Drosophila melanogaster: one gene and its partners. The protein of the gene in region 1 interacts with the protein of each later gene in a pairwise test. Each region holds a gene or a part of one and is shown in the gene's direction. Other genes may lie near its edges. The genes, in order: CG12116, cv-d and Gint3.

Region 1 (6,402 bases):
GAGGTTGTTGAAGGCGTTCATGTATTGGAACAGCTCACGTACTTTTCCGCAGGTCTTGGGCAGTTGGGCGGGTTCGATCAGCTGCTTGCTGCACCAGCAGTTGTCTCCGATCGGCGGCAGGTTAACGTCACTGGGCTCGTAGTATCGGGGCTTCGGCCGGATGACCGTGGATCCCTGACAGCTTTGGCAGTAGTCCGTTCCCTTTTCGGAGCACACGCAGGCCGCCATCAACTGTAGGGGTAGTTAAGGTTAGTTATTAATAATCCTTGTTCTTTGTCGGTTCAGTTCTTTAATATATTTGTTAGATCCAAGTAACACATGGGGTATCATCCCTATCTCCAATTGCAATTTCACACAGTGTTCATTGACCAGCAGCATCCTTTCATCTGTTCAATCCTTTTATATTAACTATTCTTAATTCACGGAAACTTCTTGTATCCCTTTATCCTTTAACCACCCAGTAAACAGTGTTAAAAATCTTTCTAGGAAGCACTCTTAAGCTTTTGTAATCACTGCACACTAAGCAGTGTTGATCAGTTCGTTCGAAAGCTTATCCTTGTTTTTTTTTTAACAAATTCACTTTCTTTCTAATGCACTCCCACTTCGATGGACACTAATCGATTTTTAAGTTTCTTACCAATTGAATGCAGTGCATTCCCATGACCAACGCGAGAAGAAGCTTGCAGGCTAGCATGTTGTAAAGGTTCTTATCGGATCACTGTGTTCTTGGCTCGTCAAAAGTTTGGACTGACTGTGGGAGCGGTCCACACGGCTTATATAACCGTGATAAACCCGAAAACCGCAGATCGCCGAAAGCTGTGCTCATGCATTAGTTTTCCGCAGCTGGGCTGCTCTCGATTTTGATCGAGGTGAATGAAATTTTCACTCTTTCTTCCAGCTAAATGAAATCTTCTAGGGGTCACTTTCCCGCTGAACGACATTGAACGGAGGACAGGGTCAGGTTCAGGTATAGCCTGTGTTCCAAATATGCTTTCCATTAGGTCCACGCCTGCCCACTAAAGCTGCGATGCTACGTGCTTCGGCTTGAAAGCCCCGCGCACTTTTGATAATACCCCTAAATCAACATAAACAGACAGATGTGATGCTATTACCCACTGCCACTGTCCACTGGTGAATTCCAAGAACTTTGGACGATACCATGTGAGTGGCTAACAATGAAGTAGGGGTACACCAACCAAGATGTTCCAGCCATTCAAGACTGGTCATTATCCAACAAGCAAAACAGCAAAGTTATCAAGATTTTGGCATTCATAGGTGCATAGAGGTTTATTTTTGATCTTGGATTTGCAGTTATGTTGCAATATATGAATATATTAATATGTAATTATATATTATAAGAAAAGGGAAGTAGTGCGACTTAGATAATCTGTATACTCTATTTTGCATAGCTATTCCCTCCATCAAATGTGAGCTTATTTGGTTATACTACGATTAGAACTGCGTTCCGTTCCCGATTTCTAAATGGGTCAGCGTCATCTCGAAACGAGAATCCGGGAATCGGCAGCAGACTCCACCGGAATATAATAAGGCCATTAACCTAATTCGAGCTTGTTATTGGCGAAAATATAGTCAAAACAGCAAATTCTGGAAACACTGCCGTCTATCGATAGATCTTGAATATAGATTTTAAAGCACTTCCCTTCCGATCGATAATGTCTATAGAAATATGGAAAAATCACATTTCTAGGCAAAAAAAAAAAAACCCCTATATGACACATTAATATATATGTACCTTACGTTATCTTTAAACATGCGATTTAACGGATGTTTAGTAACGAGAGAGTTCATTAAATTCACACGTGTTACACTACCCATGTAATTCACAGGCATATATTATATGTATTATGTAATTGCAAAAACCATTTGCATTTTATTCGTCTACGAAAGTTCAACGACTGAATGCGATAACCTGTTATGTGATTCGGAAAATAAACATATATACTTAAAATAGGAAAGCAGTTTTAATGGGAAAAAACTATATGAATGGAAATTTATTTAATTTGTTTTGCAAAAAAAAGAAGGGACTTTGCTTAGACAAAACTATAAAATGTACTATTCTACTTTCCACATAATATTGTCCCCATCTGTGCTACACTATTAATTGTTGCCAACTGATTTGTTTACAAAATTCTTTGGTTAATCTCTTGCACTAAAAAGACAACCTTGACTTAGCGCCATATCAAAGGAACTCGATGAACTTCAAGATGACAATCGATCAGGTTTTTGGCTCATGGGAAACAGTGGCAAAGCCAAAAGGGGCTTGAAAAAATTAGCTTATTCTAATATGAAAGTATAAAATGAAATGAAAAGTATAATCTATGTTAAAGCATATAGAGCAATTTGTTTGTTAGGACATTATCTAAACTATGTCTATTTACCAGGACCAGGCCCCCGATGCGTAATATTGGCGCACCACTCCATCAGATTCCAGAGGTTAAATGATGCGCCATGGGTCCGGATTACGGTGCCAAAATCCCAAACATTACAAATGGTTAATGGCACGGCAACAAGACCAGACGCCTGAACCCCGGCTTATCAGTCGATTGGGTTGTATAAAAGCCCCAAGCTGACATCCCCACCAGTCCAGAGCGCTTCTCCATACGGAATCGGAACCTGAGTTGCTCAGTCGAGCATAAATATATATACAATACATATATATGCACATATAGTTGGCCAATCGAAATCGGAATAAAGCTTATCAGTCGAAAACAGAGTCCAGTTGGCAAAGCCCGGAGGAAATAAGGCATCAGTACAGTCGTACAGCTTCAAGTGAAAACAAGTGGAAGATTCTTCAGTTCCCGAAATCCTCAAGTACCCGAAATCCTTTAAATCAAAATAATGGCAGCAAAGAGAATGGATTTAAATAGACGCACCTTTTTGGTGTTGAGCGGCAGCTCAAATCCTTTGGGTCAATCCCTGGCGCTGGAGTTCTGCCGTCGCCTGGCCACTGGATCCCTTGCTTTGATCTTGGATGAGGATCAGGAGCAGCTTCGGGAGCTGGAGAATCATCTCCGGAGCGAACTGAAGACGGAGAACGTTAAGGTGACAATCGGAAAGTTGGACAAAGATCACTCGAATGGTGTGCAGCTAATGGAACAGGCATTGATGGATAATTTCATGGCGGATAAGGACAATCAACGCTTCGAGCGTTCCATAATCCTTCACAACGAGGGAAAGGCGGCCACGCATATGCTCCTGGAACCCCAGAGCGACGACGATTGGAAGGCCTATGTCCAGCAGCAGCTCTATGCTCCGGTGGCGCTCAATCAGACGTGGCTGCAATCGAAGCACTTGGAGCGAGTGGAGAAGCTGGCGGTGAATGTGACCTCATCGCTGATGGTACGTCCATTGGTCCATGCTGGTCTGCTTTGCTCGTGCAAACGGGCCAGGGATATGTACTTCCGCGCCATGGCCGCCGAGGAGTATCGTTTCGGTGTCCATGTGCTCAGCTTCTCGCCCGGTCTGATGGACACCCACGAGGGACAGTGCGATGTGAACGGCAATCGGATCACTCCCGCTGATCTGATAGCCACGAAGCAGTTGCTCCAGCTGCCGAGAATCAAGCCCTGCCAGGCCACACTCAAGCTGATCAACATTCTGGAGGAGATATCCTTTGTCTCCGGTCACGATGTCGACTATTACGACACCTTCGTTTTATGAGTAGCACCGTGGCGGTGGGCTGCGTCCCCGATGGACTCGGTTCTAATCTTGGTTGACGATTTAAATGCTGTACATGACTTGATCGCCTTGGAAATTAATAAAATCTGGCCAATGTCCCAGATTTCAGACCTGCAAGTGCACGAAAATCAAGCACACGAACAGGAAAACGAACGAAAAATTATATTTTTATTTTGGGTGGGTGGGTAGAATTTTAGATTTCTATAGGTTTGCCATTCACAATATTAACATATATTGTTGATTTGCTACTTTCAACTGAATTTGAAATTGAGTCTATTTTTAATTAGAATAGACAGGAATCACCGAAGCACACTCCTTATATTTTACCTATAATATATTTAAAACTGATGTTCAAAAAAAGAGTACTGCAGAATATACTTAGTAATTAGTTACTATTGGTAAATTTGTATGTGCAGGCGTGAGTTTATGAGTCAGCAATGCACAACAGATTAAACAAATATACAGAATATACATATATATATATATATATTTGTTAGCTCAAAACAGAAAATGAGACAGATTGAATAGTCTCAGTGATAAGAAAACCCACACGTGTTCAAATGTATAGAATTTTGTATGTGTGGTGTTGCCGGGTCGAAAATTTTCAAAATTCCCAATAGACTGATTCTTGATCCGGGTTTTCAAAATTATATGTGAAAATTTGGCTACTGAATTTGTAGTTAATAACTAATGAGGTTTTGACAAATCTTTAATCTATACAGTTATAAATGGCTTAGTTCGCCTCATTCTGATTAAATGTATTTATGGTTTTCAATTTTTTTTTTTTTCAGTTTACTTTCAATGAATCAACTGTTTTATATTCAAGGCATACTTTTGGGTATTCCTTATAGAAAAGTAATTTAAAAAGCCATAAGTTGCTCAAAATGTTGCTAAAGCTTTCCTAATCAAATTACAAATGAAATATTGTAAAAAGCAATCAGGAATTATAAATGGAGCTTCCCTACAATGTTGCAAAGATTCTGTAATCAGTTGGATTTTATAGTTTTTCCCTTGGATGCGGGGAATAAACATACAAATTAAATTTAATGACAAATTGAGAGCTTGAACTTTATAACAAAGTTGCAGAGCTTTCGAGAGAAGATTACTCGAGTTAACTCTTTAAGATGCTGACCTTGACATTGACTTTCTAACACATATTATATACATAATATATTAGCTGGGTTACTTTCATAAGGACCATAGGTTTTGATATATATGTATATATATATATATGCAAGCCTTTACGGCAAACTCTGTACGTCCTGTCTTCATTAAGCTGATAGCAGTGAAAGTCGTACTGCTCATCTTCAAGCCATAAATTTTTATTAAATTGAAATAGCTTGCAATATTTTTATACAACATTCTGATAGCTTTACTTGATTTACTTAATGAAATTTGGTAATCCATATAGGGTCACTTAAGGATGCGATGAAATTTTACTCGAACTCCATTCGCATGACAACGACAGTTTTACACAAGGGGTTCCAGAAGCAAACTTCTATCCGAATAAAGCAGACTACACCTAGAGACACAGAGCTTGTGTATAAAATCTAAAATTATCTATATATATATATATATATATATATAAATTCGGGCATCAGGATGCGGAAGGTGCAGGCTTTGGTTCAGACGCGCGACGGCAAGAAGACCGTCTACGAGGTGGATCGCTTAGGAACGGTGGCCAGCCTGAAGGCACGGATCGGGCAAGCCATGTCCGTGCCCATGGGCTTCAGTCGGCTGTCGTACAAGGGTCGCGTGCTATCCAATCAGAGCGTACTGGAGGATTTGGGGCCCAATAAGTCCACCCTGGATCTCACCTGGAAGCCGGTCGTCCTGACGGCCAATCAGAGCAGCAAGTTAAGCAAGTTCGGCTATGGCAGGATAGACGATAGTGAAGTTATGTTTACACTGATCGGCGGCTACCAGCAACGCGAAGAATATCCTGGTGGCATAGTCAATCCACCGGACGACGAAAGTCAACAAAACTTCAACGCAGGTGACGATGATGATGCACTGGAGGCCCAGGACATGACTGGACACGATTTGTCCTCAATTCAAACCGATGATTTATCGCTCAAAGGCCAGACGGAACCGGAGCTGGATTGCTCCATTGGATCTCATGGATTCTCTGGATCTCAAGAAGAAGGCCAAGAATAACGACAATGTGTAGTAGACTGTTGTAAATTATTTTAAATTAAAAAGATTTAGTCCTCGTTTCAGTCCTCAATCTAAATTTACGATACAAGCATAAATAATAAATCTTTAGTCGATTTTATCCGTTTGCATTTCATTTCCAATTGTTTACACTCAAACAAATAATTAACGATGGCCAATGCCATAACAATTTTTTAAATTTATTAATTATAGACTGCATGGTACGATCTGCTGCGATCGAAATGCTTCTGAAAATGCCAAAAAAAAGGGGAAAAAAAATTAACTCAAAATAATTGTAAACAGTAGTGCGGCAAACGAAAATCAGGGAAAACATTAACAAGCAGTTGTTCCATAAATCCAGGACGCAACTGGATGCGTAGATTTATATGGAAGAGGAGAGTAGGGGGGAGGGTAAACAAATCGATTCACTTGGAGACCCCGTGTGCCAGGTAACATATACTACTACATGCTATATATTGTAGATATACCATCTATATGTATACATATGTATGTACCCACTAATTGGAATGGCCGTGGCTGATGAAAAGC
Region 2 (7,652 bases), on another chromosome or scaffold:
AGTTGTCCATTAGTTGAGTTATCACCTGTCACACGACTGATTGCGGTGTTTCCACCAGATCGCGACTTCTTATAGCGGGTAAGAGGGGAGCACTAGACCCGCCGGCGAATCGAGCATACGCAACATTGCATAATTTAGCATATCCAATGGGCTGGATGAGTTGCAGTTTCCACGGTTGCCGGACTCCAGGGTATTTCGGATCTCTTGGTGCCGTGCTGCAAGGGCACCAATTATCAATTCACAATCTGCACTCCGCTTACCCGGAGGAAAAAAATAGTGATTTCCCCTTTGGGGGCGTCTGATAATTTGGGTGAATAATTGCGAAATTGCCGCCAGCCCATAAAACAAAGCAATTGTGTTCACCGAGCTGTTTCCCAGTGACAGCTCCACTTTATCTGGCACGTTTCTATCAGAGCTTATCGTTCCGCAATTGCCTTTCCTCGTCGCCGCGCAGGTACACCGACTTCACCATGCTGTACTGCCCGCCCAACGTGACCCTCAGCGAGGTGTGGACGCAGCATGGCATCTCGCATTGCTTCATGGACACCGTGGGACCGGCGGTATACGGTGGATTCCTTCTGCTCTTCGGCAGCATTCAGTTGCTGATGTACCGGAAGTATGCCACCAGGATTACGGATCCCACGCAAATCTCCAAGTCACGACTGTTCGCGATGCAACTCTTTCTGTTGCTCCTGCTCCCGGTTTTGGCTCTATTGCGGTTTCTGATGAATGCACGTATTTATCCAGATAGTGCGGTGTACGGCTATATGGTAAGTATGAAAATGATCAAGAAGAAACAATTACTGATCGAAATCTTTTCTGCAGATCTTCTCCACTTGCGTTGTGTGCTTCTCCTACCCGTTCAGCATCTGTTTGATACTCAAGGAGCGCTACTACCAGCTGCCCTCAATGCCCACCCGAGGACATGGACTTGTTCTATTGCTATTCTGGACGTTGGCTTTCATTAACGAGTCGCTGGCCTTCATAAATTTGCGCCACGAGGACTGGTGGTTCCACCTAAAAACGTAAGTAATGCAAACGGCTGTAAAACGGATAATCTATAGTACCGCCTTTACTACTCGCAGGAACAAGGATCAAATTGAGATGGGCTTGTTTGTCACCCGGTTCCTGTGCTCCCTGCTCATCTTCGTTTTGGGTCTGAAAGCTCCTGGCATCATGGCCCCGTACAATCCACATCAGCGGCTGGACAATGATACCGCCAACGAATCGCAGGGAAACGTGCAGACAGGATCTGCTTTCAGGAACGGATGGCGCAAGCTGCGCACCGTCTTTCCGTACCTCTGGCCTAAAAAGAATATTGCTCTGCAGATAGCCGTCATCGTTTGCATTATACTGCTGCTTGCCGGTCGAGTCATAAAGCTGTTTTTGCCGATTTATCGCAAGAAGTTGGGTAGGTCAAGAATTATGAACGTAATTCGTTAAGTAATTCATTGCTAATCTCCTGTTTCGACAGTTGACAGTCTTACCATTGCACCGATCGTCTTTCGCTGGGACTTTGTGCTGATCTATGTGGCATTGTCCTTCCTCCAGGGTGGCGGCACTGGTAGCATGGGATTATTTAATAACCTTCGCACCTTCCTCTGGATACGGGTTCAACAGTACACGACCCGGGAGATCGAGATTGAGCTGTTCCGGCATCTGCACCAGCTTTCGCTTAGATGGCACTTGCAACGCAAAACGGGAGAGGTGTTGCGTGTCATGGATCGCGGCACGGACTCGATCAACAACCTCCTCAACTATATTGTCTTCTCGATCGCACCAACCATTCTCGATCTACTCGTTGCCGTGGCATACTTTGTTTACGCCTTCAATTGGTGGTTTGGCCTAATCGTCTTCCTCACCATGTTCCTGTATATAGGTAAGTGATAAAAATTATTCGATTAATTCCATTCGTATTTCAAAATATCCTTCCGTTTTACAGCCTCTACCATTGCAATCACTGAATGGAGAACCAAGTACCAGAGGAGAATGAACCTGGCGGACAATGAGCAGCGAGCTCGCAGCGTGGACTCCCTTCTCAATTTCGAAACAGTCAAGTACTACGGAGCGGAGCACTACGAGGTGGATTGCTACAGGGAGGCCATTCTCAAGTACCAAAAGGAAGAGTTCCTCTCAATGCTGACACTCAACATGCTGAACACAGCCCAGAATATTATTTTGTGCTTGGGCCTACTGGCCGGATCGCTGCTCTGTGTATACTTGGTAGTTCACCATCAAACCCTCACCGTGGGCGATTTTGTGCTCTTCTCCACCTATCTGATGGAATTGTACATGCCACTGAATTGGTTCGGCACCTATTACCGAGCCATACAGAAGAACTTCGTGGACATGGAGAACATGTTCGATCTGCTGAAAGAGGAGGAAGAGATTGTGGATGCCCCAGGCTGTTCGCCCCTTCTAACTGCCGGCGGTGGCATTGAGTTCTCAAACGTGACCTTTGGCTATTCACCGGAGAAGATAGTGCTGCGCAATGTGAGCTTCACAGTTCCGGCCGGTAAGACGGTAGCGATTGTTGGACCCTCTGGAGCCGGTAAGAGCACCATCATGCGGCTGCTTTTCCGCTTTTACGATGTGCAGACTGGTGCTATCCTGATTGACGGACAAAACATCAAGCTTGTGCAGCAGCAGAGTCTGCGAAAGGCCATTGGAGTGGTGCCCCAGGATACGGTTCTCTTTAACAACACCATCTTCTACAACATTGAATATGCCAAGTTGGGCGCTTCGGACGAAGCTGTCTATGAGGCTGCTCGCGCCGCCGACATTCACGAAAGGATTCTCGGCTTTCCGGAGAAATATGAGACAAAGGTGGGCGAACGAGGTCTGCGGCTCAGTGGAGGTGAAAAGCAACGCGTAGCCATCGCCAGAACGCTTCTTAAGGCGCCCATTATTGTGCTCCTGGATGAAGCCACCTCAGCTTTGGACACCCACACAGAACGCAATATTCAGGCTGCTTTGGCCAGGGTGTGCGCAAATCGTACCACCATCATTGTTGCCCATCGTCTTTCCACCATCATCCATGCGGACGAGATTCTGGTCCTGCAGCAGGGAAGCATAGCGGAGCGTGGGCGACACGAAGAGCTTGTGCTGCGCGAAGATGGCATCTACGCGGACATGTGGCAACAGCAACTCAAGAATCTAGATGCAGAACAGAGTGGTGGTTCTGATAACGGAGACGCTAGTGCAGAATCGGGATCGGAGAAACGCAGGGCAGGAGGAGCAGGAGGACCAAGTGGTACTGGAACGGGTGGTGCCCACTTCAGGGCAGGACATGCTCATGGGGGAGCACGCTAGCCTTAAGTGACATACAGAGTAGTTTCTGATATTCCTGATTCCATGTGATTTGTGGTGTATTGTTATACGTATGAGAGCAGCTCGTCAAAGTCTTAGTTCGTCTATAAGTAACCTTATATGCTACTCTTATACTAATAAATAACGTAGATTTTTATAGACAATCCGCGAGATTTAATATAATTTAAATGTGTCTGGTACCAAATAAATAGCGCAATATTGTGTATTTCTAGTCCTTATTAAATTATTAAGTCTTGAAGGGATACGAAATTGTCCTTGGGAATATTGTAAGATAATGTTATGCAAGATATCTTAAAATCCTCTAAACAGAATGTATCAGATTTGAGAATCCGTTTTCTGGTCCGTAAGACGTTGTTCCAGTGGACGCGGCAAAAATCTATTTATAGGACATTTCCCAAGAGATCGTAAGAGAGCCCAGCTGCCAAGCTGCTCTTCGCAGCATGATTCTTATCAACGAAACCTCCAGCAAGGCCAACCATCCGGCTGTTATGTCCGCTCAGTTTGAGCTTGGATCGCGAACAGAGCGGACGTGTCGAGCTGTGATCCGGGAATTAGACGCGTTGGCGATAAAGGAGGAAAAGCGTCGGCTTCTTTGAAAAATCTGATAATATACAGTCGCGTTGATATATATATTATATATAATATATATACATATATTCACTGATACTACATTGAGAAATCTGTGCGCGAAGTGAAAAGCGTCGGAAGATCTGTGGAAAAGCGAGTGCCACGACCTCGGAAGGAAGTAGCTAGTAGCAAGTAGCAGGCCATGAGGCTACTCAAGTGTTCCGTGTTTGTGTGTACGTGAGAGTAACCTAGTTGATAATCCCAACTGTATCAGAAACTAATAAAAGAATATGACGTAATTATTCATTGACGAGGCGCGCATCAAAAAGAAACCTAGAAGCAACATTGATTAAAGCGTTTTGCGATCATTCAAATATGTTTATATATATTATATATACACATGCACATTTAGTATATATCTATATATATATATATATAAGAAATTCAATTGATAATTGAAGAGTTTATTGCCCGTCCGCGCGAATGCGACATAGATGGCGGGAGGGATGGATGAACACGAGCGGATGGGAGGAGCATCCATCGAATTGAAGTTCAATTTCCCATTTATCTATTTATCCGGCAGATCTGTTCCTGATCTTCGATGCCGGCCATGCCTTCAGCATCATTGGCCTCAACAAACAGATGCTCTACGAGTACGAGGGCAATGTCCTGGTGGGTGCAAAGCCCCAGGACGAGGGCCACCAGGCGCCACCCACCACCGGATGGATTGTGCGGGGCAAGCTGACGCTCCAGCGGCAAAGCGAGCTGGTCTTGGCTGCGGCGGTAAGTTGTCTAGGATCAGTTCCAGTTTCGGAGATGTTTCAGTTGATCTCCGGCAAGCGTTTCTCAATATTATTTTTGTTTATACAAATCGATCCATACTAGTATTTACTCATACTTCTTGTATGTAGAAGAATGTGTATATCAATTGGAAATCGGTGAAAAATCAAATCAATTTATTGATTTCATTATCAATTTATACGATCCAATCGGCGCATTCTATAGCCCCCATTCCCATATTCCACTTCCCATTCCCCATCACCATCTGCAGCGCGACTTCTTGTCAGCCTCCGCAGACGAAGAAGAATTCGCAGATGAATTAAAGACAATTTAACCATTCACTGAGCGGTAGCGACTCTGGAAAAGATCGGAGCGGATTCGCCACAATAAACTGAACTCGGTTGTGAACTTCTTTCATTGAGCCCCCACAGATAATGCCATTCCCTTTTGTTAATCAGCTCTGATTGTTTTGACTGAGAGTGACTCTCTAGGAGTAGAGAGTCCCTCGCTTATCAGTGATCAGGCATCTGGACCTGCGCCTGGGCATGGTATGGTGCATGTACGCCATATGAGAGCGCCGATCTGACTAATTTCTGCTGGCCAGATAAACGGCGTCTCGGCGCGTCTTATCAGCCGGTTCAGTTGGGCTCGACCCTGGTCGATAGAAGATTACAGCATTATTGCAGGGCTTTCCCGGCTAATCGTCTGCTCTGCTCTGCTCTCTCTCTCTCTCGCTCGCTCTCTACCCGACAGCTGGTCATAGACGATGTAACGCTGAACAACTCCGGCGAGAAGTTCCTGCAGAACAAGGAGATGTACCCGCCCTACAAGCCCTTCAAGATCGCTCTCACCAAGGATGGCGCCATCTCACATGTGGTCTTCAAGGAAGGCGATCCCATATGGAGCATGAACTTCAAGCGGGCCATCGCATCGGTGCTGCAGTTCCAGATGAAGTCCAGCGGGGCCTTCGTCGTGGATGAGGTAAGTTATACCATCCGATATACATAATTCCTAATTTAAACTTTATTATTTTTACTGGTAGCTGGGTATTCACGGCACTTGCCGCACGGAGTACTTTGTGTCCAACAGGACAAACTACATCTCCATCCGCAAAACGCCGGAGGTCAAGACCTGCAAGCCGTACTCGGAGGCGGTTCACACTACACGCAGCAACGTGCCGCCCAATACGTGCGAATTCGATCACCAGAAGAGTGTGATCATTGGCAATGAGGCCATCTACGGGATGTCACCGCACAACGAAACGGGTTACTATCTGAGCATGGCCCATGCCAAGGGCACAACCCTGATCCACACGTTCGAATCCACGGGAGAAGCACAATTCATTAACTCGGAGTTGCTGCTCAATTTCCTTAACGAGACGCCCATCGACAATCCCATCGATATTGAAACCTCAATGGCAGCAGAGCCATCCAACCTGGAGCTGCAGCGGCTGGATCCCAACGATCCCACTGGAGGTCGTAGCCCTCAGCAGCAGGAGACGCTGATTGCCCAGGCGGGGACGCTCTTAGACAGTCTGGCCGAAGCACTAGAGACAACGGAATTCAAGTTCTCGGAGCCCTACGACTCCACTCTCTCCGACGTGATCAAGCTTCTCAGCGAGATGGACTTTGATTCGCTCACTAAACTCTATCGGGAGGTGGACATTGGCACCTCCTATCGCCAGGAGACCATTCGCAACATCTTTCATGAAATCATTCCCCGCATTGGAACTAAAGCATCCGTTTTTCTGACCCACCACCTGGTGCTCAACAAATTGACTAAGCCGCAAATCGCTGTGCAACTGCTCATACCCATGCCATTCCACATCTTCGAGCTCTCGGCGGAGTTGGTGCAAAAGTGCGAGGACTTCCTCAATATCGGACCCGATCGCCCGGATGTGCGGCAGGCCGCTATCCTTAGCTTTGCCACGCTCATCCATAATGTCTATGTGGCCAAGGGCATCGATAAGGAAAAGTTTGAGGAGTATGTCCAGAAGTACTTTAATGCCTATCTAAGTAAGTGTTCCAAATAACCATGAGTTCCATATAAACTAATATCATTCATCGCAGGCGATCGCGACTTCGACCAGAAGATGTTGTATCTGCAGGGTCTAAACAACTTGCAATTGGGGAACGTGGCCAACTATCTGGAGCCCATTGTTCAGGACCCCAACGAGCACGAGGATCTGAAGTTCCAGGCCGCCTGGACGACCCTGGCACTGGCCGATCGTCGAGCGGAGCGCATATACGAGGTCTACTGGCCAATCTTTGAGTCCCGAAATGCCAGCCTAGAACTTCGTGTGGCAGCGGTTACGCTGCTATTGATTTCCAACCCCACGGCCGCCCGTCTCATCAGCATCCATCGCATCATTCAGAGCGAGACGGACCCTCACATGATTAACTACTACCGGACGACGGTGACGAGCATCTCGGAGACAACATATCCCTGCTATCAGCACCTGTAAGTCATCTAACTCAGCCTAATTCACAGCCATCCACAGATGTCGTATATCCTTCATTTAGACGCCGTCTGTTGTCCTACATGCATCGTCATCTGCCCCAGAAGCCCGAGTCACGCTACTGGGTCACCGGTAACTACATCTTTGACTATCGCGACTCCAAGTTCGGCATCGGTGCAATGCTTCAGGTATTCCTCGTGGGCGATCCAAAGTCGGACATGCCAGTGGTGGCCTTCTTCAAATTCGACACCGAAGCTCTAGGCAAATTCACAGGACAACTGGCGGTAAGTACAACCTCTCGGTGTTTCAAGAATCAAATAAGCCATCTCTACTTCTTCCAGCTATACATCAAGGCACGTGGGCTGCCAGATACCATCCTGAACAAGATGCAATCGCGAAATGGCAGCGATCCTTTTACCTTTAAGAGCATCAAGGCTCTATTGGCCATGCTGCAGGCTCCGATCATCAACTCGAAGGACCTGCATCTGGAGTTCATCCTGCAAATGGAGGGCAAGAC
Region 3 (8,025 bases), on another chromosome or scaffold:
TTGCCAATTTGTCGAAATGCTTTTTCCGCTTTTCCGGCCCGGCGCCGCAATTGAATTTCGTTTCGTAAAGGAAATGACTTAACCAAAAAAAACCAAATCCCTTTTATTTATACCATCTTCAAGTGGCTCAGGAAGCTCGATAGGATGGGTTTTCAATTGCACAACAACGAAAAAAAAAGAACTCCAGAGCAATGTTATATTTTTTAATTAGTTCATTGCCTGCACTGGCGCGATATTTCCCACGAAACTTCATCTGTTCATGGGGTAAACAAATGAAGTGAATCAACAGAAAAACAGAAAAATGGGGGAAAAACAAGCTGAAAATACAGAATTATGAAAAGAGTTTTCGAAGCCACACACAATGCTTTTGGGGGTATAGCAGCCACTTGTTGTTCTTGCCTCGTTTGTTTGTTCTGGTCCAAGAAAAAAAAAAAATATGCTAAACATGTTTGTGGGGCATCAGCATCAAAGAATTTACGATATATGGGTATTCCTTGTCCCTTATCGAACGAACTAATGCATACGTTTCAATACATAAAACCCATCATTACGACCCACGCAGGTGAGTGAGTCAGGTGAGAATCGGATGCCATAAAGTATTCCAAGCCCAAATTGGGCGACTTATTGGACACCATTTAGAGTTTTAAACAAAAAAAAAAAAACAAAAAAATGAAAATACCCGCGTGGTGGAAAGTCTCGAGATATTTCAGAGCTTCAGGCGGTCCACAGCGGGAAAGTCAATTTTATTAAAAAATGGATAATTAGTAGATTTAGAATTCAGACATGGAAGAATCAAACTGAGTTGGCGAATTGCAGGGGGCCAAATTCTTGCCGCTCACATTGGCGACTTCCGGCCGCATTAGATGAATTATTAACATTTTTTGTTTCAGCGAATCCGAAGAACACTTGAAGTTCAGCGGATTGTATTTCAGCCTTTTTTTTCTTCGTTTTGCTGCTCTTTCTTATTTTTTTTTTTTGGCGGGGGGGCTTCTCTGGATTCATTCATTCTCACTCCCACGCTCATGGGAGCTGGAAAAGCTGTGTGTGAATGGTTATTTGAGGGAAATGCCCAAAGACAAAAGTCTCAGGGCAGCCGAAGAAACTGTCATTGCCAGCAGAAACCCACACAACAAAGAGATACTTGGTATCTTAAACTGGATGGATAGATGGGAGAATGTTATGCATAGAGACCAGAAGACCACCAGAAGAAGTTCATGGGAACGAACTTCGTGGCCCCTGTAAGTCAAGTGTGAAGTGGTGGACCCAGGGGAATTCGGTTACTTTGGTGGAGGGGCAAACCGCTCCGCGTTGCAGCAAGTGCATTCATCTAATAGATACGAGTGCGAGCCATGAATACGACAATTAATGTCATCCACCATTCATGATTTGCTCCTTCTGCAAACGGCAATCAAGATGAGAACAGCGCTTTGCACATGGAGGAAATATAAGTAATGATTGAGCCAAATTATATGGTTAATTAAATTATATCGATAATACATTTTATCATTGATTTTTTCATATATATGAGCAATGAAGATGTTTTTCTCCCTGTGTAGCCTGTAAACTCCGCGTCTCCTGCACTTCCCATCCAATTGCTTGCTTATGCAAGGCAACGTGACTGTGTGGGCGTGTCATCACTTTCAATTTTGCGGCCAATTTGAGTGACACTTTCTGCCTGTTTGTCACGCCGCTTGCGTAGCCAAAGATTGTGCCACAAAGGGATGGGCAGTGGGGAGTGGTGTTTGGCATGAGGCACGGAGCCACCAAGGAGGACCATCATCATCATCAGGAGGCCTAGAGAAGCAGCGACTTTGTGTGTCTGCTCGTCGTCTGCGGCGCTTCCGTTTCCTGTGCATAAATTTTAATGAGCGAGCCAGATTCCCCGCCTTCAACTCCACCGACTCGGCTGGCCGCCCAATCAAGACACTATCAATGCGAGATAAGAAAATAAATAATATTTTTAAAACAAAAAAAAAACAACCGTCAGTGGGAAAGGAAACCCTTGGCTGTGTCCAGTGTCTCTTACCTTGACTTTCGCGCAGCGAGCACAAAGTCACGGCTATGTTGGCCATAAATTGGCACAACCAGTTTTGGGCCACGGGTGAAAACAAAAGAAAAGCCAAGGCATTGGCCAAATGGTTGCTGCTTTTACTGGCTTTCCCAACCGTGAAATTCGTGCAAGAGGAGTACAGGTGCGTCAGACTGATCGACAGGTGGAGTATCTTTCAGATACATTCATAATACAAGTACTGCATATCAGTAGAAAGTCAGCATACTTACGTCGCAATATAAACTCCAACATTTAACTTAAGAACTTCAAAATATGACATATTCGAGCTGTGAATATAATTGGTTATATAGTTATGAAATCATTGAATCTATTCTTTTGGTAGCTTTATATTTTCCTGTATTCCAGCATACCCCTCCATTGCTGGGAGCCCAGTTTTCTTCTCTCTCCTTCGCAGACTTGGCCACACACAACTCGACGTCTTCAGCTGGCGATTGGAACTAGTTTTTCAGGTTCGGCGCATGGCGGCTGATAACAACAATTGCAATGCGAATGACGCCGGACGACGGCGCATGCGCGCCACTCTTGCATTCCTTTCGATGGCTCTGGGTGCGCAGAACTCTCCCCCCAGCCGTCCCTCCCATCCGGGCATTTGTGGAATTTTAATTGCGCAAAACAAAAAACAAAAAAAAAACTGCAATGATGAGGAGTTGGGGACAGGCAACTGCAATTGCAACCGATGCGATGGTGGCTGGAATGGAATGGGATTGGGAATGGCTGGGAATGACGTTGAATGATGGTTAGTTGCAGCCCGGTTGCAAGTGAGAACATATCGCGTGATGGTGATAGATATAATGGCCATGGGACACAGTGCTCTTGTCATGCCAGAAGATGGGGCTGCAGACACGCCTTGGACTCGAGACTCAAATGCGCAGACTGCTGATTGCGATGGCAAACAGAGCCACAGCCAGATTACACATACAGATATAGAAACAGAAAACCAACGGACCAGAGCAGAACGAAGCCGATGGAAGAAAATCTTACACTCTGCTCGAATTATAAGTCGTCGACATTTTGCCTAACTAACAGTCGCCACGGAAAAATGAGCCAGCATAAATAAAGCCAAGCAAGGCGGAGCGGAATAGAATAGACTGTTTGTGTCTGTTGTTGGCTGCTGGCGTAATTGAAGTTGCAGAAAGCCAGAGACGAGCCAAGCAGCCACAAAACCTAAAACCTAAGAGAGAAGCAACACACCGAGATGGGGGCCATCTCCGCATCCACGTAGCCAGTGGAGCGCGAGGCATGGCGCATACGGAAGCCATAGGCTGCAAGAGATTTCTCTTCTTTGGCCTCCGCTCGACTTTCGGCTGGCTGTTGAACCCGCAGCGCATCGCTGGAGCGTGATCTCCCCGCCCCCAGATAGGCATCCCCAATCTCTCACTCTGCTACCTACTTGGCCGAAAAACATACTCAAGGATGCCATCGAAAATCAATCGCAAAATATGCGAAAGGAAGAGAGATGCCCAGGCTCCAATCGCCGAAAATTACAGGAAGCAAAAGCACTTGGCGAAACGATCGAAAATCATTCAATTACGACAGCTGGCCCTGCATATAAAAAATGGGCGTGTGCTCCACAAAATATCATTATGTAAGCACACGGTGAAAAAAGAGCGGTGGGTTTCGAAATTATTTTGAAAGAATCCAAGGTTGCAAATTTGGAATTAAATATACAAATATTTTAGCAAAATTAATAGTTGGTAGCTACTTTTTGAAATTTTATAATCATTTAAATACACAATTTAATATTTTAGCCTATATTAAAAATGTGGAAAATATTCTTAATAACAACGCCATAAATATTGTTCAATTCACTTCTTCAGGAACTGAATAAGGTCAATAGCAGGTGCACACATTAATTACAGGATGCGGGTGCAGAAATCAAGGCAAATCGAATGAGGTCAGAACCCTCAGGGAAATCCATAAATAATTGTTCCCCCCATTCGAAAATTACAATTTAAATTCAAAACAGGCGCCAAAACAAAGCATTTGGAAATTAACCAGCACTGGAGAGCAGCGAAATACTTTTATCGATAAGTAAGCTGTTGACGCATTTTCATTTGGTATTTTTACTAGCCCGTAGGTATTTACACACAGACCAGCAACGGGCACACCAGCAAAGAAAAAAGTGTTGACGAAATTATTATAATGCTGCGAATATAAACAAAGGATTGCGTTGAAAACGTATTAAATACGATCTTTGGCACTTACCAATCAGGCAATGAGTTTCAATTTCTACGTGGAATCGTTCAATTCAACGTTGCAGTCGATTGCGCGACAAGTGGAGCAATTTGCTGGCGTTGCACTGACGGCAGCCGTCGATCTGCGCGGAAATCTGGAATCTTTGACCGGTGACTTTCGTTGGGAAAACGGACCCATTGCCTTCACCGATCTGCAGGCGACACTGCTGAAGGTGCTTATCGTGCTGCTTCTGGGCACCTGCGTACTAGCCGGCTATTCGTGGTCCATTTACGGCAAAGTCATTACGGAGAAGTTTGTCAGGCCAAGTAGGAATATGCTTAAAATCAGGATGTTACGATAAGTTTACTTAAACGAAGGCCACGTCTTGCATTTCAGGCACGCTCAAGGAAATCGAGGAGCTTAAATTGTCGGTGGCCAAGTTGAAGCTGCCCAAGGAACACTCGCCGCGCATCTAGAAACCATGTCCAAGATTAAGAAGTTCTTTTCGCGGAAGAAGGCGGAGGCTGCCTTTAAGGTGGGTTCTTTCTTTAGCCAAGCCATTGGAAATCCCTTACCAAGTTCGTTTACAGCTCAATTTAACTGGCAGCGGCATGGGCACTGGCCACAAGCTGAATTCCCCCAAACAGGAGACTCCTTCAAGTAGTTCCCGCCAAAAGTATGAGGCCTATGTGCCACCAAAGCGAAATGAAATAAGTAACGAGGCCAGGGCAGCTGCCAGTGCGGCACTGGCGCGCATTGACAAGAAAACATCCAGGGAATTCAATACCTCGCTGTCGGCAGTGAAGGCACAGGCTAAAAGAGAGCTGGAGGCAGAGCGTCGCCAGAGAGAGGAAGCCATGGGCACGCCATCAACGACCAGCACATCCACATCGGCTTCCGGCGGCGACACTCGCAACCTGGCCTGCGAAGGCGTCTTCTTCCGCTGCCCCCTAATCAGCGAGGAGATTCTACCCAAGAGCGTGTGGAAGGTTCGCATCAAAGAGTTCCTCTACCAGCAGCTGGAGGCAGATCGCGGCCTCACCGCCTGCCTGATCATCCACAATTGCAATGTTAAGGAGAAGGCCGACGAGTGCATTGCCACGCTAATCCGATATCTGGAGAATCTTATCAAGAATCCCGAGGAGGAGAAGTTCTGCAAGATACGGATGTCCAACAAAATCTTCAGCGAAAAGGTGCGCTACGTGGAGGGTGCCCTGGATGTTCTGCAAGCAGCGGGCTTCAACGAGGTCCAGATCGATGGCGAACCCTTCCTTTTGTGGACCAAGGAGCAGACGGAGAAGGATCTCGACTTGCCCACACTAGTGGAAGCTCTCAAGAGCTCGGAGATTATTCCCCTGGAGCTGGATCGCAACATTAAGGTCCTACTTCCATCGCAGGCATGTCGTGTCGCCCTCCCCGACGAGTTTTATCGCCTGTCGCCGGAGGAGATCAAGAAAGAGCAACAGCTGCGATCCGAGGCCATTGCCCAGTCACAGATGCTGCGGACAAAGGCGATGCGGGAACGCGAGGAGCAGCGCAATTTGCGCATGTATCGATACGCTTTAGTCAGGGTTAAATTTCCCAATGGACTCTTTATACAAGTAAGCCATTCCGCGATGATGTCATCTGAAGTAATTTTATGTAATAAGCCGAATCATTTTCAGGGCACTTTCAATGTGTACGAAAAAATATCCGATGTGTTCGAGTTTGTCCAATCTTGCCTGGCGGACGAAAGCCTGGATTTTAGCTTGGTGTCCAACAGCGATGGCAAACTGGGCGATGAGGACTTGGAAAAGACACTATATGACTGCAAGTGAGTGATGCAATAATGTTTTCTTTAGGTACAACACTACATGATTTCCTTCATTTCAGACTCATTCCGAACACTCTGCTGCTGTTTAGCGCCAATGATACACCCGCTCCTTTGCAAACGGATATAAACTACTTAAAGGAAGACCTTCTAATGCTGGTGCAGGCTATGTAGAAGTGCTTTAACCCATATATTCAGCGGTATTTGTCCCTTATATTATAACAGAGCTGTTGTTATTTATTACTTTCAAATCTATTATTCAAAATCAATTATAAACGCACTTTACACAAAAGAAAATTTCTTTAAATTAATTTGGTTATTTGGCTGTTGCTACTTGTTCGCTTGAAATTTATTTATATTAAAAACTTATTTTTATATATTTGCTTAACTAAATACATACTTTCAAGCCACTGTGCGTCAAACAGCTGTTTGGTATCTTTTTGGCTGCGGTATTTCAGGTGGGCTTTTAAGCTTACCTGCAAACGGTCTTACTTATTGCAAAAATAAACAAAAATTGCAACGCTAGCAAGTGGAAATTGACGAATTATTATTTAACTATGAGCTTAAACTGTGAGCTGTGAGGAATTGTGAAAAGTGCACGAATCGCTGAACTATTTGGTGCTATGTAAATGTTAGTGAGTACGCAAGTCTAGAATCATATGTTTGTACCAAACAATAACAAAGTGCGGCCAATTGCATTTTGACCATAATTCCATTAACAAATGCCTAATTGTTGCTTAGTCACATTAGTTTCGGGGCTCAAAAAGTCATAAATAATGCCATTAATAAGCGGAGCAAATGTTACGCCTGTTTTGGAAGTTTCCCGCACTCTTTTGTGCGGTCAGCGCATCGCGTGGTTCCGCTGAAAACTTGTGGCCCACTGTAATTTCCCAATCCACGCGACTTTTCCTGGCCATTATCGAATTATTAATAGCATGTGGGTGCAATTTGTTGATGCGGACTACTAATTAAGCAGGCAGCTTGATCGTACGGCTGTCACATTTTAGAAACTGCTTGGAACTTAGCTCAATAATCAACCCTCTTTTTAACAATACGATATGAACTTATATGATCAATTTGAATTAATAGTTTAAACACATATTATCAGACTCATTAACTTACAACAAATGTAGCTTATCAATATACCCAACAAAGATACCTTAGAAAGATAAGATTATGCTATATAATAGATATATATGAATCCCCTTTGTTTCCAAAACATTTACACGAAATGAGAAAGTACATATATCGTATATCGTATATCGTGGGAGCCCAAAACTGGAGCATTGATCCTAATCCCAAGCTGGCTTCTTCGCTGCCACTAAACAAACAGTTGCATTTAATGAACCAATTTCGCAGTTGGCCTTTACTGTCTATCACGGCGGCATCGAAAACGGCCAAACTAAAAGTCTGTGGAGGAGTGAGGAGAGGAGTGGGTAGATTAAGGAGTGCTTCGCCCAGGCTCCGGGCACTGGCAATTTGGCGTAAATCTCGCTTGATCTTGGGAAAAGGTAAATAGAAAAGCAGCCAAAATCAAACATTAATGAATCTCTACGGCTCAGGGCTTAAATTAAGCCAAGCAATCGCGCCAAATCGAAACACGCAGCCACGAGAAGCCAAATAAAAAGCAGGCAGAAAGCCAGAGACTGCAAGCCATCGCATAAATTGGCCTGGGCTGGAGCCAAAGATTTCATTGTTGGCCATTGCTTATTATGGCCGGGCAGCGGATCTAGGCCTTCATTAAACGGCCAAAGGCAGCGGCTGCAGTTGCACCGGGAGAAATGTCACCAAAGTTGGTAGGCTACAGTTCTTAAATGATACTCAGTCCAATTAAGTGACCTTTTTTAATGCCTTATCTTTAAGATGTGTATTTAAATAAACCCTTTTGAAACTTTAGCACATCTTGCATACACGGCTTTTTCTCCCTGTGTACAATAGAGCCTTATTTCAACTTTGGTCCGCGAGGCTA

What was found.
Region 2: the proteins of CG12116 (region 1) and cv-d interact in a two-hybrid assay, tested with the Drosophila melanogaster proteins (one large-scale study listed by BioGRID).
Region 3: the proteins of CG12116 (region 1) and Gint3 interact in a two-hybrid assay, tested with the Drosophila melanogaster proteins (one large-scale study listed by BioGRID).

What each region holds. Positions count from the first base shown.
Region 1 is NC_004354.4:8,465,212-8,471,613, reverse strand, and holds CG12116 (uncharacterized protein), read left to right. Parts: upstream 1-2,601; 5' UTR 2,602-2,859; coding exon 2,860-3,681; 3' UTR 3,682-4,171; downstream 4,172-6,402. Other genes in the region: Cp7Fa (chorion protein a at 7F), read right to left, coding at 1-231, 638-694; CG33223 (uncharacterized protein), read left to right, coding at 5,302-5,856.
Region 2 is NT_033777.3:15,849,756-15,857,407, reverse strand, and holds the start of cv-d (crossveinless d), read left to right. Parts: upstream 1-3,826; 5' UTR 3,827-4,099; coding exon 4,100-4,130; intron 4,131-4,480; coding exon 4,481-4,680; intron 4,681-5,430; coding exon 5,431-5,658; intron 5,659-5,719; coding exon 5,720-6,692; intron 6,693-6,746; coding exon 6,747-7,137; intron 7,138-7,199; coding exon 7,200-7,419; intron 7,420-7,476; coding exon 7,477-7,652. Other genes in the region: Hmt-1 (heavy metal tolerance factor 1), read left to right, coding at 471-770, 826-1,025, 1,086-1,411, 1,475-1,879, 1,943-3,312.
Region 3 is NT_033778.4:18,656,742-18,664,766, reverse strand, and holds Gint3 (GDI interacting protein 3), read left to right. Parts: upstream 1-3,218; 5' UTR 3,219-3,656; intron 3,657-3,994; exon of another isoform or gene 3,995-4,102; intron 4,103-4,141; 5' UTR 4,142-4,286; coding exon of another isoform or gene 4,287-4,572; intron 4,573-4,642; coding exon of another isoform or gene 4,643-4,722; 5' UTR 4,723-4,727; coding exon 4,728-4,781; intron 4,782-4,836; coding exon 4,837-5,847; intron 5,848-5,910; coding exon 5,911-6,059; intron 6,060-6,118; coding exon 6,119-6,230; 3' UTR 6,231-6,349; downstream 6,350-8,025. Other genes in the region: CG42306 (uncharacterized protein), read left to right, coding at 4,287-4,572, 4,643-4,722.